Macaca mulatta: one gene and its partners. The protein of the gene in region 1 interacts with the protein of each later gene in a pairwise test. Links are inferred from orthologs where the notes say so. Each region holds a gene or a part of one and is shown in the gene's direction. Other genes may lie near its edges.

Region 1 (4,189 bases):
GCTCACACCTGTAATCCCAGCACTTTGGGAGGCCGAGGTCGGAGGAGCACTTGAGCCCAGGAGTTCGAGACCAACCTGAGCAAGATGGTGAGGACCCTGTCTCTACCAAAAAAAAAAAAAAAAAAAAAATACTTATCAAGGAATCCAAAGACCTTACCTTCGAAAATTGTAAAAAACATAGGAATACACAAGCACATATTTTTTTCCTCACCAGAGCAATGACATCATCACATATTCTGTAAATGTATAATTATTTCAAAAAAAAGTTAAAGGAAATGAAGCATAGAGGATGGAGCAAGTAGGGATTACAACAACTTTCAACAGCAACCGAAGTCAGAAGACAGATAACATCAATGTGCTGAAAGAGGAAAACTTCTGAACCTCAAAATATATAAACAGTGAAATAAACCCTTCAAGAATTGTAAGATGGGCTGGTCCAAAGGTAGTGAGTTATCTCAGTTGATTGTTCACAGTCAGTTACAGATCAAACTCCTTATTTTACTCTCACTACTGCACTTGACTAGTCTGAAAAAAGGAATTATAAGATGAATTAAAGACACATTCAGATAAGCAAAACTGAGAAAGTTTAGTAAAAGCAAGTCTTTACTAAAGCAAATTATGAAGAATGTACCTCGGGCAGAAGGAAAGGTGTCAAGATCAAGTGTCGAGGAAGATCAGAGATTTAAGAAGGTATAAGAAGGTTAGAAAAGTGAGAAAAAAAAATGCTGTCAACTCTAGAAACTACAAGTATAAAGAAAAAAAGATAATTGGGAAATCTAAATAACCTACCTTAGGAAATTCTAAAAACCGCAAGAATATACGAGCTCACATTCCTTTGGTCATAAGAGCAGTGTCATCATTAGACATCAGGTCGCCTCTGGAAAATTCCATTGTGAGTTTAAAAGGCAAATGACGTCTATTATTCTAAAACTAGTTCTGCCACCGAAACTCTACAAAGAATCTTGGGATCTGCAGGGTCTCCCGGATCACACTTTGAGAACTGCCGCTTTAATCTTCCTCCCATCTCCTAAGTCCGGGGTTCCTGAGTTTGCTTCCCTGACTGGCCAAGGAGAAAAGAGAAAGGTCACTTGTCGGGGGGCCGCAGAGGGAATTCCCCTCTTTCATTTGCAAAGGTTACTGGGGGACACACCGGCTCCCAGTAGGGTTTCTGCCAAGGCTCCGCGAAGTGCCACTAGAGGGCGCCGCTAGCGAATCCCACAGCGCGCCCCGCATCCCCAACTTTTGTCCTCCGGGTTCACACGGGCGCCCGGAAGAGAGGGTGGTGCCTGGGAGAGGAAACTATGCGCCCCGGGGCCGCGGCCTCATTGGATGAGAGGTCCCCACCTCACGGCCCAAGGCGGGGCTTCTTTGCGCTTAAAAGCCAAGCCGGGCCAATGTTCAAGTGCGCAGCTCTTAGTCGCAAGTCGACTAAGGTTTATCAGTCACTCGCCGAGGTTCCCTGGGTCATGGTGCCAGCCTGACTGAGAAGAGGACGCTCCCGGGAGACGAATGAGGAACCACCTCCTCCTACTATTCAAGTACAGGGGCCTGGTCCGCAAAGGGAAGAAAAGCAAAAGACGAAAATGGCTAAATTCGTGATCCGCCCAGCCACTGCCGCCGACTGCAGTGACATACTGCGGCTGATCAAGGTAGCGGAGAGCCCGAGCTCCTCCCGTGGCGTAGGGTGGAGGTGGTTCCGTTTCCCGGGGTGGGGTGATTCGCGTCTCGAGGTCTGGGCCGGTGTGAGAGCCCAGCCGGTTCCCCTTTCTGCGCCCATCCCAGGCCCGGCCGCTACCCCGCCCCGCCCGCCCCATTCCCTTCCACTGAGCTGGCCGGCCGGAGCCTCATTTTGTTTTCTGCTTTTCTCTCTCCTATGTGCATCCCCCCAGGAGCTGGCTAAATATGAATACATGGAAGAACAAGTAATCTTAACTGAAAAAGGTAATTCAACAGTGGCGGGGCGGGGGACAAGCGTTCGGTGCCTGTCACCTTCGCCGAGGCCATTACCGTCCCTGTTCCCCCTTCTTGCAGATCTGCTAGAAGATGGTTTTGGAGAGCACCCCTTTTACCACTGCCTGGTTGCAGAAGTGCCCAAAGAGCACTGGACTCCGGAAGGTAACCCCTCTCCCTTTACAGAAGCCAGAGAGACCGAGTGTTATGTAAGAAGTAGTGTCGGCTGTGTAGAACCACTGACTACACAGGCCGAAGTTACTGAGAACTTGGACAGAAAAAATAGCCAGCAAGTGTTCAAACTACTGAGGAAAAAAAAAATTAGATACGCTGCACTTGAGAATACTAGGGCAGGTTAAAAGAGCTGTTTAAGTAAGTATCAGAGTGCTGTGGAGACTCTGAAGAGTTTAAGCTGCTTAAGTAAGTACAAGTGCTGTGGCGACCCCGAAGAGTTAGGTATAATGTCATTTGTTGTAATTCAGTTTCATAAAATGGTTCTTGTTTGACCCTAAAGTAACAGTTTTTGTAATTGTGTTAAATCACATTTTTTTCTTTAATTTGTCCCAATCTTCAGGTTACAGTCTCTAGCTTCGCCATGTACATGGCCCTTCCGTGTACATGGATGGGCGGGGAGGTAACTAAAAGATCCTTTACACAATAAAGTAGATGATCATGATAAATGAGGTAAGGTCCTATTATCACACACTTCAAACACGGTAGATCAGAAACCCACTATGATACTCGCTTCCTGTCTGTTTGCTAAGGAATATAAAATGGCTAGAAAGTTTAATTTGAAACCTTTGCCTCCATTTGGAATAGTAGACACCTGTTAAGAGGGTGTCAGATGCCCCTTTTTTTTTTTTTTTTTTTTTTTTTTTGGCTGATCCCTGTTGATTGGTCAGAAGACAGCTCAGCTAAAAGGGGAAGTTGTTTGGGTGATTGCTTTTTTTCTGACGTCTGTTCCTCAGGCTAGAAGAAATGAGCAGAAAACACGGAATGAGTACTTTTTAAAGTAATGTGCATGTTATGTAATACCTGTTTCTGGGCAGTGCTGCCTCTTCTGACTCAACAAATGGGGAGAGCAAATTGAAAATGTGTAAATTGGAAGGCAAGTTCTGAAATTAAACGTTGTACTTTGGCCTGATGTTCTGACCTTTAAGGAAGCAAGAGTTTGTAAACTTCCAAATATTTACTATTCTGAACTGCCGTGTAAACCTGACTTGTTCCCAAGTCAACATACCAGTATACCAGTAGGATGTGAATAATGTGTGTGTTGAGTTTAAAACCATAGCAGTTTTGCTCTGGCAAGTAATGAAAGTGTTCTCGCTTCCTGAGTGTGAGCTTCCAGCAGACTGCAGAGTGGCCAGTCCACAGTTGTAGCCTGACTTCAGTGAGTTCTGATGTGTGCTTTTTGCAAATACATGTTTTCAGAACAGTGAGATCATCCAGCAGTGGCCTGGACTGCACTCACATAACAATCATGAGACAGTCGTGGCTGTTTGTTTCTGTAATACATGCATGTATGTTTTTTTAAACCTATGATAGGCCTCTGATTCTGCAGCTGCAACTTTTATGAAATGTTTTCCTTCTCCACATCTCATGTGATACTCTTATTACAGGACACAGCATTGTTGGTTTTGCCATGTACTATTTTACCTATGACCCGTGGATTGGCAAGTTACTGTATCTTGAGGACTTCTTCGTGATGAGTGATTATAGAGGTACGATTGAGTTCGGAGCAGAGGGTCTGAAGAGAGTTCAGGGTTATATAAATCCTTACAATGACTTTTTAAATTGTACTTTTTCTTTTTAGGCTTTGGCATAGGATCAGAAATTCTGAAGAATCTAAGCCGGGTATGTCTTAGTTTTTGGTTTCCAAATTTGTAAGTTTACTGGATTATTTTAATGATGGAATAAAAATTGGGTCTTGCAAGCAGGTTGAAACGTCACTGAGTTTGTGTTTTACTCTCTCATGATAGGTTGCGATGAAGTGTCGCTGCAGCAGCATGCACTTCCTGGTAGCAGAATGGAATGAACCATCCATCAACTTCTACAAAAGAAGAGGTGCTTCTGATCTGTCCAGTGAAGAGGGTTGGAGACTGTTCAAGATCGACAAGCAGTACTTGCTAAAAATGGCAACAGAGGAGTGAGGAGTGCTGGTGTAGATGACAACCTCCATTCTATTTTAGAATAAATTCCCAACTTATCTTGCTTTCTATGCTGTTTGTAGTGAAATAAT
Region 2 (4,219 bases), on another chromosome or scaffold:
TTTATCTGCCTTTGGTCTTTGAAGATGGTGACTTACTGATGGGGTTTTGGTGTGGGTGTCCTTTCTGTTAGTTTTCCTTCTAACAGTCAGGACCCTCAGCTGTAGGTCTGTTGGAGACTGCTTGAGGTCCACTCCAGACCCTGTTTGCCTGGTATCAGCAGTGGAGGCTGCAGAAGATAGAATATTGCTGAACAGCAAGAGTTGCTCTCTGATTCTTGCTCTGAAAGCTTCATCTCAGGGGTGTACCCTGCCGTGTGAGGTGTGAGGTGTCAGTCTGCACCTAGTGGGGGATGTCTCCCAGTTAGGCTACTCAGGGGTCAGGGACCCACTTGAGCAGGAAGTCTGTCCGTTCTCAGATCTTAACCTCCATGCCGGGAGATCCACTACTGTCTTCAAAGCTGCCAGACAGGGTCATTTATATCTGCAGAGGTTTCTGCTGCTTTTTGTTTAGCTATGCCCTGTCCCCAGAGGTGGAGTCTACAGAGTCAGGCAGGCCTCCTTGAGCTGCGGTGGGCTCCACCCAGTTTGAGCTTCCTGGCGGCTTTGTTTACCTACTTAAGCCTCAGCAATGGCCGGTGCCCATCCCCCGGCCTCGCTGCTGCCTTGCAGTTAGATCTCAGATTGCTGTGCTAGCAATGAGGGAGGCTCCGTGGATGTGGGACCCTCTGGGCCAGGTGTGGGATATAATCTCCTGGTGTGCCGTTTGCTAAGACCCTTGGTAAAGCGCAGTATTAGGGTGGGAGTTACCCGATTTTCCAGGTGTTGTATGTCTCATTGTCCCTTGGCTGGGAAAAGGGATTCCCTTCCCCCTTGCACTTCCGAGGTGAGGCAATGCCTCGCCCTCCTTCAGCTCTTGCTGGTCGGGCTGCAGCAGCTGACCAGCACCGATTGTCTGGCACTCGCCATTGAGATGAACCCGGTACCTCAGTTGAAAATGCAGAAATCACCCATCTTCTGTGTCGCTTGCGCTGGGAACTGGAGGCTGGAGCTGTTCCTATTCGGCCATTTTGCTCCGTGTCCCTGCATCTCTATATCTATCAAAAGTGGATAATAGTTGTAATAGAAGTAGTGAATAATTTATTCTTCAATTTAGGTAATTTCTTTCCTCCCAGGAACACAAAATAAAACACATAACAACTTTCTAATAACAAAATTTTTATCAGTCACTGGAACAATCCAGCAGGGGAGAATTAAGAGGGAAAAAATAGGAAAGAGTGGACCAAGAACAAGAAAGGCACAGAAAAACACTAATGGAGGGAGGCTTCTAGGGGCAAGAAAAGCACATTTTAATAAAATAAAAAGCATTATGGCACCCAGTCCTGGGTCTTACTTTTAAAAATACTTCAAGTAACACAGCTTTAAAAACATTTATAAAATAATATTATGAAATTTTAGTTCTCTCTTGTTTCCTTAACAGATATGGAAAAAATGAATCAAAGAGACCGACCATTCATGACAATTCAGAGAAATGATAGCTCAGGTATTTTTCCTACTTCCAACTCTGTTTTATTATTTGCACTGGATTATGTACTTTTGAAATGATATACAATTGGAATGTTGATTTTTCAAATATTTAAATAATGGAAAGCTTACTTTCTGGTTACGTTGAATGACTGGCCAGTTCCTTACAATGGGTTTGTTTTAATCCTCAACAGTGGTCAGGATACCCTTGCCGCCTTCTCCTCCTTCTCCTTCTCCTCCTTCTCCTTCTCCTTCTCCTTCTCCTTCTCCTTCTTCTTCTTCTCCTTCTTCTCCTTCTTCTCCTTCTCCTTCTCCTTCTTCTCCTTTTTCTCCTTCTTCTCCTTCTCCTCCTCCTCCTCCTCCTTCTCCTTCTCCTTCTCCCCCTTCCCCTTCCTCTTCTTCTTCTTTTGTCTTCTTCTCCTTCTTCTTTCTTCTTCTCCTCCTTCTTCTTCTTTCTTCTCCTCCTTCTTCTTCTTTCTTCTCCTCCTTCTTCTTCTTTCTTCTCCTCCTTCTTCTTTCTTCTCCTCCTTCTTCTTCTTTCTTCTCCTCCTTCTTCTTTCTTCTCCTCCTTCTTCTTCTTTCTTCTCCTTCTTCTTCCTTCTTCTCCTTCTTCTTCTTTCTTCTCCTTCTTCTTCTCCTCCTTCTCCTTCTCCTCCTTCTCCTTCTCCTCCTCCTCCTCCTCCTCCTCCTCTTCTTCTTCTTCCTCCTCCTCCTCCTCCTTTAAGTTCTGGGGAACATGTACAGAACGTGCAGGTTTGTTACATAGGTATACATATGCCATGGTGGTTTGCTGCGCCCAGCAACCCATCCTCTACATTAGGTATATCTCTTAATGCTATCCCTCCCCTAGCCCCCCAGCCCCCAACAGGCCCCAGTGTGTGATGTTCCCCTCCCTGTGTCCATGTGTTCTTATTGTTCAACTACCACTTATGAGTGAGAACATGTAGTGTTTGGTTTGCTGTTCTTGTGTTAGTTTGCTGAGAGTGATGGTTTCCAGCTTCATCCATATCCCTGCAAAGGACATGAACTCATCCTTTTTTATGGCTGCTTAGCATTCCATGGTGTATATGTGGCACATTTTCTTCAACCAGTCTATCATTGATGAGAATTTGGGTTGGTTCCAAGTATTTGCTATTGTGAACAGTGCCGCAATAAACATACATGTGCATGTGTCTTTATAGTAGAATGATTTATAATCCTCTAGGTATATACCGTATATATAGGTATGGGATTGCTGAATCAAATGGTATTTCTGGTTCTAGATCCTTGAGGAATCGCCACACTGTGTTCCACAATGTTTGAACTAATTACAGTCCCACTAACAGTGTAAACGTGTTCCTATTTCTCCACATCTTCTCCAGCATGTGTTGTTTCCTGACTTTTTAATGATCACTATTCTAACTGGCATGAGATGGTATCTCACTGTGGTTTTGATTTGTATTTCTCTAATGACCAGAGATGATGAGCTTTTTTTTTTTTTCATATGTTTGTTGGCTGCATAAATGTCTTCTTTTGAGAAATGTCTGTTCATGTCCTTCACCCACTTTTTGATGAGGTTGTTTTTTTCTTGTAAATTTGTTTAAGTTCTTCATTGATTCTGGATATTAGCCCTTTGTCAGATGGATAAATTGCAAAATTTTTCTCCCATTCTGTAGGTTGCCTGTGCACTCTGATGATAGTTTCTTTTGCTATGCAGAAGCTCTATATTTTGATTAGATCCCATTTGTCAATTTTGGCTTTTGTTGCCATTGCTTTTGGTGTTGTAGTCATGAAGTCTTTGCCCATGCCTATGTCCTGAATGGTATTGCCTAGGTTTTCTTCTAGGATTGTTATGGTTTTAGGTATTACATTTAAGTCTTTAATCCATCTTGAGTTAATTTTTGTATAAAGTGTAAGGAAGAGATCCAGTTTCAGTTTTCTGCATATGGCTAGCCAATTTTCCCAACAGTATTTATTAAATAGGGAATCCTTTCCCCATTTGCTTGTTTTTTCAGATTTTTCAAAGATCAGATGGCTTTAGATGTGTGGCTTTATTTCTGAGGCCTCTGGTCTGTTCTGTTGGTCTACATATCTTTTTTGGTACCAGTACCATGCTGTTTTGGTTACTGTAGCCTTGTAGTATAGTTCAAAGTCAGGTAGCATGATGCCTGCAGCTTTGTTGTTCTTGCCCAGCATTGTCTTGGCTGTGCGGGCTCTTTTTTGGTTCCATAATAGTTTAAAGTATTTTTTTCTGATTCTGTGAAGAAAGTAAATGGTAGCTTGATAGGGATAACATTAAATCTATAAATTACTTTGGGCAGCATGGCCATTTTCACAATATTTATTCTTCCTATCCATGAGCATGGACTATTTTTCCATTTGTTTGTGTCCTCTCTTATTTCCTTGAGTAGTGGTTTGTAGTTCTCTGTGAAGAGGCCCTTCACATCACTTGTAAGTTGTATTCCTGGGTGTTTTACTCTCTTTGTAGCAATTGTGAATGGGAGTTCACTCATGATTTTGTGCTCTATTATTGGTGTATAGGAATGCCTGTGACTTTTGCACATTGATTTTGTATCCTGAGACTTTGCTGAAGTTGCTTATCAGCTTAAGGAGATTTTGGACTGAGATGATGGTGTTTTCTAAATATACAATCATGTCATCTGCAAACAGAGACAATTTAACTTCCTCTCTTCCTATTTGAATACCCTTTATTTCTTTCTCTTGCCTGACTGCCCTGGCCAGAACTTCCAATACTATGTTGAAGTGGAGTGGTGAGAGA
Region 3 (4,146 bases), on another chromosome or scaffold:
GTAGAGACGGGGTTTCACCATGTTAACCAGGCTGGTCTCAAACTCCTGACCTCAAGTGATCTGCTGGTCTCGACCTCCCAAAGTGCTAGGATTACAGGCGTGAGCCACCATCCCATGAAGGTTCTTATATAATAAAAAATGTAAAGTCTATGCTTTTGTGCTTTGCATCCGTTATCCCATTTAGTTCTCACAAGGCCATTCTAGAGGTAAGGAAACAAACAGGAAAGTAAAGGTACTTGCCCAAGGATACACTAGAAAGTGGAACAACCAGGGTTTGAAGCCACCCAGCCTAAACGCAGAGGGCACAAGCTTGAACTTCACACTGTCCTGCTTCTTTTTTTTTTTTTTTTTTTTTTTTTTTTTTTGAGATGGAGTCTCGCTCTGTCGCACAGGCTGGAGTGTAGTGGCGGGATCTCGGCTCACTGCAACCTCCTCCTCCCGGGTTCAAGCGATTCTCCTGCCTCAGCCTCCTGAGTAATTGGGATTACAGGCACGCGCCACCACGACCGGCTACTTTTTTTTGTATTTTAGTAGGGACGGGGTTTCACCATGTTGGTCAGGCTGGTGTCGCACTCCTGACCTAGTGATCCGCGTGCCTCAGCCTCGCAAAGTGCTGGGATTACAGGCGTGAACCACCGCGCCCGGCTGTCCTGCTTCTCTACCGAATACGTCATGCCCTTTGGAGTTCATGTCACCAGCACGGAAGTCACTACAAAGCTTTTCAGCAGCTGCCGCTTTGTTTCTCTCCGTCTTCTAATGAATTCGGTTTTCTCTTTCGAGACAGCAGAGAGAAAATGGAAAGGGGAGTTTAGCTCCAAAAGGCTTGTCTGATCATTCTCCTTCTCCTAAAGGCCTGTGACTCATCTGAGTCTGTCCCAAACCATCTCTTGCATTTAGGGGCTTAAGTGCACTGTGGCTATTTACATAAAACTTTATTACTTTAAAGCTCTAAGGGCTCATTTTGTGTTTTCAACCTTCATATGTTGATAAAGCAAATATTAGATCCTTATTTGTAAATAGGGAGGACGTTCAGAGAGATTAAACGTTTGGGCAATTCACTTTTCTAGCAGCGGTTTCTTTGCCAGTAAAATGAGGCAACAACAAAATATTTATCGTTCTGGACTTTCTCAGATTTAGGCAGAAATTTGGAAGCAAAGTCAGTTTCATAACTCAGATGTGTCTCCACTAGACTATTATGAGAAACAAAGTCCGGCGCTCTCTAGGCAACCGGGAGGGCTTGAGCACTAACTAGGTCGGCTCAAGGGCGAGAGAGGAGCGAGTACTGTGCAGCCGCGGAACGGACTTTGCGGGCAGTGGGGACTTGTTTTTGGAGCGAACCCGGTAAAGGAAGTGTGCTACGCCATCAAGGGCCCCCAGTCCCGGCTGCCGCGGGGACGGTGCAGGGTCATTAGCTGTTGGGCCGCCCCGGGCGGGCCCAAGCCTTTGGGTCTCAGGTGACCAGCACAGGCAGCCGCGGAGTCCGGATCTGCTTGTTCCGGCGGTGGAAGAGACGGGCCGGCGCTGGCCGCTGCTGCTAGCAGCTTGAACCCCAGGGTCGGGACCGATGGCGGCTTGGGCTGCTGCCAGCCTAAGCAGGGCCGCTGCCCGATGCTTGCTGGCACGAGGCCCTGGGGTCGGGGCAGCTTCTCCGCGTGACCCCCGGCCCTCCCACTCCGAGCCCCGGGGCTGCGGTGCCGCACCGGGCAGGACGCTGCACCTCACAGCGGCTGTCCCCGCCGGGCACAACAAGTGGTCCAAAGTCAGGCACATCAAGGGTCCGAAGGACGTCGAAAGGAGTCGCATCTTCTCCAAACTCTGTTTGAACATCCGCCTGGCAGTGAAAGGTGAGACCCTGTCACCCACCACTAGCTGCCGCTGCCCTCTCAGTGCCCACAGCCTCGCTTGCCACTCGGAGTTGGGCCCACCTAGATCTCCGGCCCTTCACTTTGTTTTCCTTTCCCAGTACCCACCATTGCCCGCCTCATAAATCCTCAAAACACCTACCTACGTTTGAAGTCCTCACTCACCTTTCCAGACGCTAAGCATCTGGCCAGTTTGTCAGAGAGGGAGCTGCTCTTGAGAAGATAAGCCGGTAAGGTAGAAGTGACTTCATCCTGGTCTAGCTAGGTACTTAATAGAAACAAGTCTTAAGAGTCAGGGCAGATGTGTGACTCTCCTGAAGAGACAAATCAACTCCTCTGACGTCGCCTCAAGTACCTTATTTGTTGTGGCAGGGGCACTGAGTAAAGCTATCATTTAAGTGCTTAGGCCTTAGTTTGCTTCATTAATGTTTCCCCAAGACACATTTCCTTGGAAGGTAGATTTGCAACCATGTCTTTTCTCCCTTAGGTCGCCACACTGAAAAGGCTTTTTTTCTATTTAGGGCCAGAGATTTGTAGGAGTAAAGGAAAAGTCCTGTAGAAAGCATGGACTTTGGACTGGGCGCAGTGGCTCAGTCTGTAATTGCAGGCCAGGGGCAGGCAGATTACTTGAGGTCAGGAGTTCAAGACCAGCCTGGCCAACATGGCGAAACCCCGTCTTTACTAAAAATACAAAAAAAAAAAAAAAAAAAAATTAGCTGGGTGTGGTGGTGCACACCTGTAATGCCAGCTACTCAGGAGGCTGAAGCAGGAGAATCGCTTGAACCCAGGAGTTGGAGGCTACAGTAAGTGAGATTGCTCCACTACACTCTATCCAGCCTGGGTGACAGAGCAATACTCCATCTCAAAAAAAAAAAAAGAGAAACTATGGACTTTGGAGTCAGGAAGACCTGGTTTCTGTCACTGACTAACTTATTTTTTTTTTTTTTTTTTTTTTTTTTTGAGACGGAGTCTCGCTCTGTCACCCAGGCTGGAGTGCAGTGGCCGGATCTCAGCTCACTGCAAGCTCCGCCTCCTGGGTTCACGCCATTCTCCTGCCTCAGCCTCCCGAGTAGCTGGGACTACAGGCGCCTGCCACCTCGCCCGGCTAAGTTTTTGTATTTTTAGTAGAGACGGGGTTTCACTGTGTTAGCCAGGATGGTCTCCATCTCCTGACCTCGTGATCCGCCCGTCTCGGCCTCCCAAAGTGCTGGGATTACAGGCTTGAGCCACCGTGCCCGGCCACTGACTAACTTATGACCTTGAACAAGTGGCTTAACTTTGTTGAGTTTCTGTGAAACAAGGGTAATACCCACCTTGAGGTAGTTTATGGTTTATGGCACATAATAGGCATTCAGTTAATGTTCATTTACCCCCTCAACTCATGCGTGGTATTTGTTTGCTTCCTTTTCTTCAAAATTCTTGACATTAGTTCAAGCAACATTTATTTATTTATTTATTTATTTATTTATTTTATTTATTGAGACAGAGTCTCACTCTGTCACCCAGGGTAGAGTGCAGTGGGGTGATCTCAGCCCACTGCAACCTCCACCTCCCAGGCTCAAGTGATTCTCCTGCCTCAGCCTCCAGAGTAGCTGGGACTACAGGTGTGCACCACTACGCCTGGCTAAATTTTTTTGTATTTTTAGTAGAGACCGGGTTTCACCATGTTGACCAGGCTGGTCTCAAACTCTTGACCTCAAATGATCCGCCCGCCTCGGCCTCCCAAAGTGCTGGGATTGCAGGCGTAAGCCACTGCACCCTGCCCAAGTTCAACCAACTTAATTGTGTTTATTTTGTACCAGGCATGCCACTAGTACTACAAAGATGATGAAATATAGCCCCTACCCTCAGATTACAATGTCATGTGAACATTTCAATAATTATGCACAAAGTGCAGGGCGCGGTGGCTCACACCTGTAATCCCAACACTTTGGGAGGCTGAGGTGGGCGGATCACGAGGTCAGGAGATTGAGACCATCCTGGCTAACACAGTGAAACCCTATCTCTACTAAAAAAATACAAAAAAAAATTATCTGGGCTTGGTGGCGGGCGCCTGTAGTCCCAGCTACTCAGGAGACTGAGGCAGGAGAATGGCGTGAACCCAGGAGGCGGAGGTTGCAGTGAGCCGAGATTGCGCCACTGCAGATTGCCCACTCCAGCCTGGGCAACAGAGCAAGACTCTGTCTCAAAAATAGTAATAAAATAAAATTATTTTTATTATGCACAAAGTAGTAGAGTAAGCAGTAATGAGTCCAGGAAGTGTTGTTACCATCTATGTCCCTTC
Region 4 (4,055 bases), on another chromosome or scaffold:
CGAAGGCTCTGGAACTGCCCCGCTTCGCATAGAGCTATTGTGCTGCCCTGCAGTGTATCCACCTGTTTTTTTTTTTTGGTTTTTGTTTGTTTGCCGATGGGCAGGGGGGAGGTGCGAGCGGGGAGGGCCTTCCTCGTGCATATATAGCGATAGCCTGCACTAGGCCAAACCCACCACTCCTGGGGGAATGGTAACACGCAAATAATCTAAACAAAGTTTTCTGCTGTCATCTTGTGCAAGGACCCTCTCCCTCAAGACATCTATGACTGGGGTCTATGGGTTAAGAAGGTGAAAAAGTGGCCCCATCCCATATCCATAACTAAATCATAGAATCCGTGGGGATTTGAATTGAGTGGCTGGCGCAAGACCTCCGTTTGCTTTCAGTGGCTGCTGGGAGACAGGAAAGGATATCGGTAACTTTGCGGGCGCTAATGTGGCTTCTGCGTCTGCCTCTTCAAAGTTTATACCCGGCGCTTAACAAATCCTTTACGGGAACACGTACGTCCCTGACTTTTTTTTTATATTAAAACATAGGAGGGTAGAAAAGGAAAATTCGCCTGCAAAATGGGTTGTCATCCTTGGGCCTGCAGATCTCCAAAACCATTTTCTTCTAAAGCAACAAAAGAGAAAAAAATACGTTCTAAAAGGAAATTACGAAAAGAACCTAACTTTGCTAAACCAACAGTACTCCACTCCCCTATCCTAAACTCCACCTAGGTCCGGGGTGCCCCCGCAACACTCCAGTAGGTTCGAGTTCTCCCGGAGCTGAGCTTCTGCGGCCAAATGTCGGGATAAAAGCGGCCTTGGACTCGGAAAAACGCGGCCAGATCTGGACTGGAGGGAGGAGAAGAGAGAGAACGGGAGCGGCCACCTCACTCGCTTACAGGCACCCCCGCCCTCACTCCCGCAGGTCCTCCCCTTCTCCGCCCCGCTAGCACCGCCGCGTTCTGGAGCGCCGCAGTCTCCCGCTGCGGGCTCGGGTAGCGGAGAGGGCTTGGAGGAGGGGGCCGTGAGCGCCCCCGCGAGAGTGGCCTGGCTGCAGGTGGCAAGGAAGGTGAAGTGCAGGCACCCGAGGGGCGCAAAGAAGGAGAAAGGCGTGGGGCGGGGAGTGCAAGGAGACAGGGACCTCAGGGGTGGGGGTGGCGGTAGGAAGGAGGAGGGGTTGGGGGAGGGCGGCGGAGGAGGTGTTGGGTCCCGCCAGCGCGCGAGAAAGCTGCAGAAGAGCTGGCTCAGACCTTAATCAGAGCTCTCGCCGGCTCTTTGCAGCCGCCGCAGCGCTTCCGCTAAGAAGGACGTGCCGACCCGGCTGCGCGCCCAAGGCAGCGGCCCGCGTCGGGGTTGGCTGGGCGTGAGCTGGGAGACCGAGCTGTGAGCGCGAAGGGAGCTGGAGAGACGGCTGCTGCACCTCCAGTCGCCCCGGAGCACACACGACCACCGGGGCAGCGGGATCAAGGGCCGCGCCTCCCGGAGGCCGCCCCTAAGCGGGCCTCGCAGCCCCGCCGTCCAGCGGTCCCTGGCCCGCTCCCGCCGCCAGCCCGCCAACTCATCCGGGAGCCCGGGGCATGAACGGCTACGGCTCCCCCTACCTGTACATGGGCGGCCCGGTGTCGCAGCCGCCGCGGGCGCCCCTGCAGCGCACGCCCAAGTGCGCGCGCTGCCGCAACCACGGCGTACTGTCCTGGCTCAAGGGCCACAAGCGTTACTGCCGCTTCAAGGACTGCACCTGCGAGAAGTGCATCCTCATCATCGAGCGGCAGCGGGTCATGGCTGCGCAGGTGGCGCTGCGCCGGCAGCAGGCCAACGAGAGCCTGGAGAGCCTCATCCCAGACTCGCTGCGCGCTCTCCCAGGGCCCCCGCCCCCTGGGGACGCCGCCGCCGCCCCGCAGCCGCCGCCGGCCTCTCAGCCGTCTCAGCCGCAGCCGCCGCGCCCTGCTGCCGAGTTGGCCGCGGCCGCCACGCTGCGCTGGACCGCCGAGCCGCAACCCGGGGCTCTGCAGGCGCAGCTCGCCAAGCCAGGTAAGAGTGTGTGAGGTGCTGGAGTTTGGCGGGGCGCGTGGGCGAACTTCGGAGTGTCTGCTGCAGCTCCACTTGGAGGCCTGGAGGCAAAGTTTTGGGAAGTGGGCCTCGCGGGGCTTTCCTTCCCACTCTCCGCCAGGCCGGGGCTTCCTCTCCCGGGAGAAGCCGGCTGAGTCTGGACCCAGAGCGAGTAGCACTCGCGCCCGCAGGGAAGGCGCCTCCGGGGAGCCAAACGACGGGACTGTGCGTCAGGATCGCCAGGTGCCTTCCCAGATTAAAGGGCTCGGAACGTGTCAGATTGAGCAGGGAGACAACGGAGTTGAGACAGGACCAAATTAAAACCCAGGCGCTCACACTTACCACGGAGGGGGGAGTAAGGTTTTCCTGGCTGCAGGCTTTAGAGGTCCTCGCCATTCGGGAGTTGGAATGGGTAGGTAGGTGTAGGGAAGGCGCCAAAGCCCAACACTCCTAGCTGGTTGTGCTTTTCCGCCTGCCTGGCCCGGCCCAGGGCCCAGGAAAATTTGAGTGAGGACAAGTATCCAGCTCTCAGAACCCTGGCCTTTCTAGCTTTGCTCCGTGGCCTTCAGACTCTTGTAACTGGTGAAATAAGTTCCATTTAGCAATGATAGTAAAAAGGTCCCGAAAGGCTCCTGAGCTGATAATGGGACCAAGAATCTGGTGCGCCCAGAATTCACTCCTTTGCAGAACCTCCTAGATCCTTTAACACTGTTCCCCAGGCCGCCCTCAGCTCTCTTCATGGTTTAAAGAAATTTAAAAAAACAAAATCTGTTTCCATCCAGGCCTCCTGAGCTTGGCAGGCCTGAGTTGAGTCTCTCAGTCTCTCTCTTCCTGGGGAATTTCTGGCTTGCGGTTCTGCCCAGCGCAAGAGCTCTTTTGATGGCTCTTGGAATAAAGTAGACATGTGTTTGGTGTTTCTCCTTAACTGGGGCAAGTGTACAAAGGAACACAGCCCACCTTCTCCCGGAAGGGGAAGGGGGCATGCTGGAATTAGGAGTGGGAAGGTCCTGAGCCCTCCTGCAGGTAGTACCGTGGCAAAACTGGTACCTACACTGACCTGCCAACTCCCTAAAGACGGTACCCCTAGCTTCTGGAGAAAGGCTTTCAGGAGCCCAGGAGTGCTTTGTCTGGATCCTGTGGAGCTGAGGAAGTGAGGTGGGACTCACCTGTTTCGTAGTGACGGCTGACTGGCAGGTGGAGTTCTGCTGCCCTTTCAGCAACGCTTTCCAGGCCTGAAGCTCTGAGAACAGCCTGTGTGAGAGTAGAGCTGGGAATTTTAAAGCCTGAAGAGAGTTTGCTGAACTTGGATTTTGTGGATATTTAATCCAAGTTAGCATATAAACATTTCTCAGGAATGCTCGCCAGTTGTCTCTCTTTTGTCTCTCATCTTTTTTATATTTATGGAGTTGCCACAGACGAAGGGGAGGGAGGAGAAAAAGGTTTTTTTGTTTTTTTTTTTCTCCCATTGGTTTGAATAAATAACTAGGAAGAGTTTGGTCTCAGCTCTAGAAGTGGATTTGTACCAATATATTTTCTTAATTTTTTCCGTTTCCAGCTTTTCTGGTTCCGTTTCCCCCAGGACTAGGGCAGAGGCCGGAGTTAATATCAGAGGTAGCATTTTGCAGTGGCCATCTGCCCAGCAGCATTCCTGTGACAGGGCATTGGGTTCTGTGGTCTTTGTCCACGGAGATTCCTTTCACATCCTGTGTTCTTCAGTGTTCTTTGGGATAGCTAAAGTTCATGATTTCTAAAGAGTCAGGAAACTGAAAACACAACCCCAGGAGGAGGAGGAGGAGGAGTGAGGGCAGGCAGGAAGGCGGAGTAGGCAGCGGCAGCAGGATACATGCTTTGGGAGAAGAGAAAAAGGAAACGGATTTCAACTGGACAAACCAGAGCTGTGCTCTCTGTTTTACTCCTACTTAGTACTCAGGGATAGCCTGAGCCTTCCAAATTGAAAACAAGTAATTGCAAAGGAGAATAGGATTTATCACAAGGAGAGGTCAAAGTGACGACTTTGGGGG
Region 5 (4,037 bases), on another chromosome or scaffold:
TGGTGAAACCCCATCTGTACTAAAAGTACAAAAATTAGCCGGGCATGGTGACGCATGCCTGTAGTCCCAGCTACTCGGGAAGCTGAGGCAGGAGAATTGCTTGAGCCTGGGAGATGGAGGTTGCAGTGAGCCGAGATCGTGCCACTGCACTCCAGCCTGGGAAACAGAGCAAGACGCCATCTCAGAAAATAAAATAAAACCCTAACACCCTAACCCATCCTGGGAGGGGCCAGGCCGGCCCACCAGGGCTGCTTCCTGGGTTCATGAAGCCGCGGTAAGTTGAGCAGCAGGCTGCTGGTACCTGTCTTCTCTGTGCCCTCCTGTCCCCGTGTCCCCAACCCCCGGCACAGGAAGCTGTGCCATCCGCCCACTGAACCGAGCCCTATCTCAGCCTCATCTACTTTATTTTTGTTTTTCTTTTTTCTGAGACAGGGTCTGGCTCTGTGGCCCAGACTGGAGTGCAGTGTCACGATCTCGGCTCACTGCAGCCTCAGCCTCCCGAGTAGCTGGGATGACAGGCGTGCCCGGCCACACCCGGCTAATTTTTGTATTTTTAGTAGAGACTGTTTCACCATGTTGCCCGCGCTGGTCTCGAACTCCTGACCTCAGGTGATCCGCCCACCTCGGCCTCCCATAGTGCTGGGATTACAAGCGCGAGCACCGCGCCCGGCCCTCAGATCGTGACAAACGCGGGTGGCTTGTCCTGGAACTGCTCAGAACCACTGTCGCTAACGAGGCCTCAGGCGGGCAGCGAGGGCCGCGTCCCTCACTGGTGCCCGAGGGGCGGCGACTTCAGGCCAGGGCAGAGGTGGGCATCGACGGCTAGATCACTCGAATGACACCGTGACACGAAAAGACCAACTAGCAGCGTCCGGGACGCAGCTGAAATGCTCCAGGCCCGGAGCGGGGACAGCCCCTGGCGGGCCGAACGCGGCTGCGGGTTCCGGACCACACGGATGGGCAAGGCCGGGCAGGGCCGACTGTCGCCGGCTGCGCGCCTCTTACCCCGCATCAAAGCCCGTCATCCCCGCGAGGCACCTCGCCAAGCCAGAGGCCCACGGCGCGCAGGAAACCGGCTTTCCCGAGACCTGGCCCGGACCCACCGGCGCCCGCCCAGTCGCCGCGGCTGAGGCGGCGAAGTTCCGGTGAGTCGCAACGCGCAGGCGCCGCACGTCAGGCCCCGCCCCCAGCCCGCTCCAGGAGTGCGCAGGCGCCACAGCCAGCTTCCCCGCCCCCCACCCGCGCCAGGAGCGCGCAGGCGCGCAGACCGCCGAGTTTTCTGCGCTTCCTTCTCCCTCTCTCCAGACGTCCTGGTCGTTCGGTCCTATGTCGCGCCGGGCCCTCCGGAGGCTGAGGGGGGAACAGCGCGGCCAGGAGCCCATCGGGCCCAGCGCCCTGCAGTTCGACCTCCGTGATGACGATGACGCGGAAGAAGAAGGGCCCAAGCGGGAGCTGGGTGTCCGGCGCCCCGGGGGCGCAGGGAAGGAGGGCGTCCGAGTCAACAACCGCTTCGAGCTGGTGAGGAGCGCGGCGACCCGGGTGGGGGCGGGGTGGCCCGTGACGTCGCGGGGCGGGACGAGCGTCCAGTCGGGTCGGGGAGCGGGGGGTCGTCATGCCAGGGGTAGGTCTGGTGACGTGGGTCCCGGCTGCAGTGGGGAGGGCGGGGCCGTGCGTCGGGGCCGGGACGACGCGGGTGGGCGGTGGCGTGAGGTCAGGACGGCGGGCCGCGGCGTTAAATTGTGTTCTAACCCCGGCGAGGTGGGCGGGATCATCCCGCCCTCAGGGGCGGGGCAAAGAGATGGGGCGGGGCCATGTCGTCGGGGCGGGGCGACCGAATGGGCGGGGTTAAGCGGGGTCCGGGCTGTGGGGAGGGCGGGGCCTTAATGCCAAGGGCGTGACCAACGTCAGCGGGGCCGGGCCACGATGTGGGCGGGGTTAAACGGGCCTGCAGCCACGTGGCTGTCGTGGGGCCATGACGCTACAGGGCGTGGCTAAGGACATGAGGGCGAGGCGATGGCATGGGCGGGGTTAAATGGGGCCTGGGGCCACCGTGGGGATGGGGCCTTGGTGTAGGGGCAAGAGTGGGGTTCTTTCAGTTCCGGAGTTGAGGACTTGCCAGGCCTCTGCGAGCATTCTCCTTTAATCCTCGCAACAACCCTGCCTAACCCAGGACCTTGCTCTTCTCCGCTGCATCCCCATCAGCCTAACCCAGTGGGTTAGTCTTACTCTTCGTTGCATCTCCAGCAGCACGTTTCTGGCACGGGGAAGTAACCAGTTTGACTGCATGGTTTGCACATGTGGTCCTGTGCCGTTTTCTCCTAAGCCCTGGCCTCCGTCTGTAACTCTGCCTCTGCGGAGTCTGCGATCCTCCCACCTCAGCCTCCTGGGTATCTAAGACTACGGGTGGGTGTCACCATGCCAGGCTAATTTTTTTTTTTTTTTTTTTTTTTGAGACGGAGTCTCACTCTGTCGCCTGGGCTGGAGTGCAGTGACCGGATCTCAGCTCACTGCAAGCTCCGCCTCCCGGGTTCACGCCATTCTCCTGCCTCAGCCTCCCGAGTAGCTGGGACTACAGGCGCCCGCCACCTCGCCCGGCTAGTTTTTTGTATTTTTTTAGTAGAGACGGGGTTTCACCGTGTTAGCCAGGATGGTCTCGATCTCCTGACCTCGTGATCCGCCCGTCTCGGCCTCCCAAAGTGCTGGGATTACAGGCTTGAGCCACCGTGCCCGGCCAATTTTTTTTTTTTTTTTGTAGAGACGAGGTTTCACCTTGTTGCCCAGGCAGGTCTAGAACTCCTGCGCTCAAACAGTCTGTTCACCTCAGCCTCACAAAGTGCTGGAACTACAGGCATGAGTCACCATGCTTGGTTGACTGCCCTTCTCACATCAATTCCACCTTTACGGGTCCGCAAGACCACCGTCAAGGTTCAATAATTTGCTAGATTCACAGCAGTTACTGAAAGTGTTTTTTTTTTTTTTTTTTTGAGATGGAATCTTGCCCTGTTGCCCAGGCCGAAGTGCATTGGCACAATCCTAGGTCACTGCAACCTTGAACTCCTGGGCTCAAACAGTCCTCTCACCTTGGCCTCTCAGAGTGTTGGCATTACAGGCATGAGCCACTGTGCTTGGCCCCATAAGTCTTTAAATTTTTGTCAATATAATTTGTCAAAAATGATATCACGTTACTTTATTTTACACTTCTTTGTTAGTGAAATGCAGCACCTAGCTATGTACTTGTTGACCATTTATAGTTAGCCAGGATGGTCTCGATCTCCTGACCTCGTGATCCGCCCGTCTTGGCCTCCCAAAGTGCTGGGATTACAGGCTTGAGCAACCGCACCCGGCCTATCCTTTGCCTTTTTATAGGGAGTTTAAACAATCTTTTTGTTCGTGAAAGCTTGCTATCAATTGTCTTTAACGTATTTTCTCTGTTTGTTTGTTCTTTAAATTCTTTAATTTCTGCGTGCTGAAAGCCACTTTTCTCATTGTTACACATCCATCTCTCTAGTGTCTTCACATAGATCTTCCCTGACGGTGATCCTCCTGCCTCAGCCTCCTGAGCAGCTGGGACGACAGCATACCCTACTGTGCTCAGCTTGTTCTTTTAATGCTTTTTTGTTTTTTCCATTTAAATATTTAATCTTTTTGGTATTTATATTTGTGTTGGTGGGAATTGGGAAACAGTGTGGTTCCTGAGTTGACAGAATAAGAGTCCGTAAGGTCAGAAACCACACACACCCTTTTGGACTTTCTGGAATGAGTTTGGAGTGTCAGTAACACCAACAGCCTCCGTGGATGAGCGTCTGCTTATCGTGCTTGTGTTCTTAGGAATTTCAAAGAATTTTATCCAATGGCACACATCGATCTTAATTTAAGCATTCTATACTTTTTTGCCCTTACAACTCATATTTGGAAATAATATAATAGAAATGTTTATTGGCGTTCTGTTAAATAGCTCTTAATAAACAGAAGTATGAGACACATTAAACAGCCACTTAGGACTGAATGGTTTTGAATGTGAATGCATCAGTGAGAGA

The links.
Region 2: the proteins of SAT1 (region 1) and CCDC148 interact in binary tests that used the Homo sapiens proteins (3 or more experiments, as listed by UniProt). The two-hybrid records come from large-scale screens. The link is inferred for Macaca mulatta from reciprocal best matches to the Homo sapiens genes SAT1 and CCDC148.
Region 3: the proteins of SAT1 (region 1) and TACO1 interact in binary tests that used the Homo sapiens proteins (3 or more experiments, as listed by UniProt). The two-hybrid records come from large-scale screens. The link is inferred for Macaca mulatta from reciprocal best matches to the Homo sapiens genes SAT1 and TACO1.
Region 4: the proteins of SAT1 (region 1) and DMRT3 interact in binary tests that used the Homo sapiens proteins (3 or more experiments, as listed by UniProt). The two-hybrid records come from large-scale screens. The link is inferred for Macaca mulatta from reciprocal best matches to the Homo sapiens genes SAT1 and DMRT3.
Region 5: the proteins of SAT1 (region 1) and TCF25 interact in binary tests that used the Homo sapiens proteins (3 or more experiments, as listed by UniProt). The two-hybrid records come from large-scale screens. The link is inferred for Macaca mulatta from reciprocal best matches to the Homo sapiens genes SAT1 and TCF25.

What each region holds. Positions count from the first base shown.
Region 1 is NC_133426.1:23,569,966-23,574,154, forward strand, and holds the start of SAT1 (diamine acetyltransferase 1), read left to right. Parts: upstream 1-1,389; 5' UTR 1,390-1,583; coding exon 1,584-1,649; intron 1,650-1,889; coding exon 1,890-1,941; intron 1,942-2,031; coding exon 2,032-2,115; intron 2,116-3,569; coding exon 3,570-3,671; intron 3,672-3,763; coding exon 3,764-3,804; intron 3,805-3,929; coding exon 3,930-4,100; 3' UTR 4,101-4,189. UniProt on the Homo sapiens protein: Enzyme which catalyzes the acetylation of polyamines. Substrate specificity: norspermidine = spermidine >> spermine > N(1)-acetylspermine. This highly regulated enzyme allows a fine attenuation of the intracellular concentration of polyamines.
Region 2 is NC_133417.1:63,218,406-63,222,624, reverse strand, and holds the start of CCDC148 (coiled-coil domain-containing protein 148), read left to right. Parts: upstream 1-1,419; coding exon 1,420-1,480; intron 1,481-4,219.
Region 3 is NC_133421.1:73,392,369-73,396,514, forward strand, and holds the start of TACO1 (translational activator of cytochrome c oxidase 1), read left to right. Parts: upstream 1-1,346; 5' UTR 1,347-1,564; coding exon 1,565-1,844; intron 1,845-4,146. UniProt on the Homo sapiens protein: Acts as a translational activator of mitochondrially-encoded cytochrome c oxidase 1.
Region 4 is NC_133420.1:98,463,785-98,467,839, reverse strand, and holds the start of DMRT3 (doublesex- and mab-3-related transcription factor 3), read left to right. Parts: upstream 1-1,255; 5' UTR 1,256-1,562; coding exon 1,563-2,016; intron 2,017-4,055. UniProt on the Homo sapiens protein: Probable transcription factor that plays a role in configuring the spinal circuits controlling stride in vertebrates.
Region 5 is NC_133425.1:85,322,222-85,326,258, forward strand, and holds the start of TCF25 (ribosome quality control complex subunit TCF25), read left to right. Parts: upstream 1-1,237; 5' UTR 1,238-1,326; coding exon 1,327-1,518; intron 1,519-4,037. UniProt on the Homo sapiens protein: Component of the ribosome quality control complex (RQC), a ribosome-associated complex that mediates ubiquitination and extraction of incompletely synthesized nascent chains for proteasomal degradation.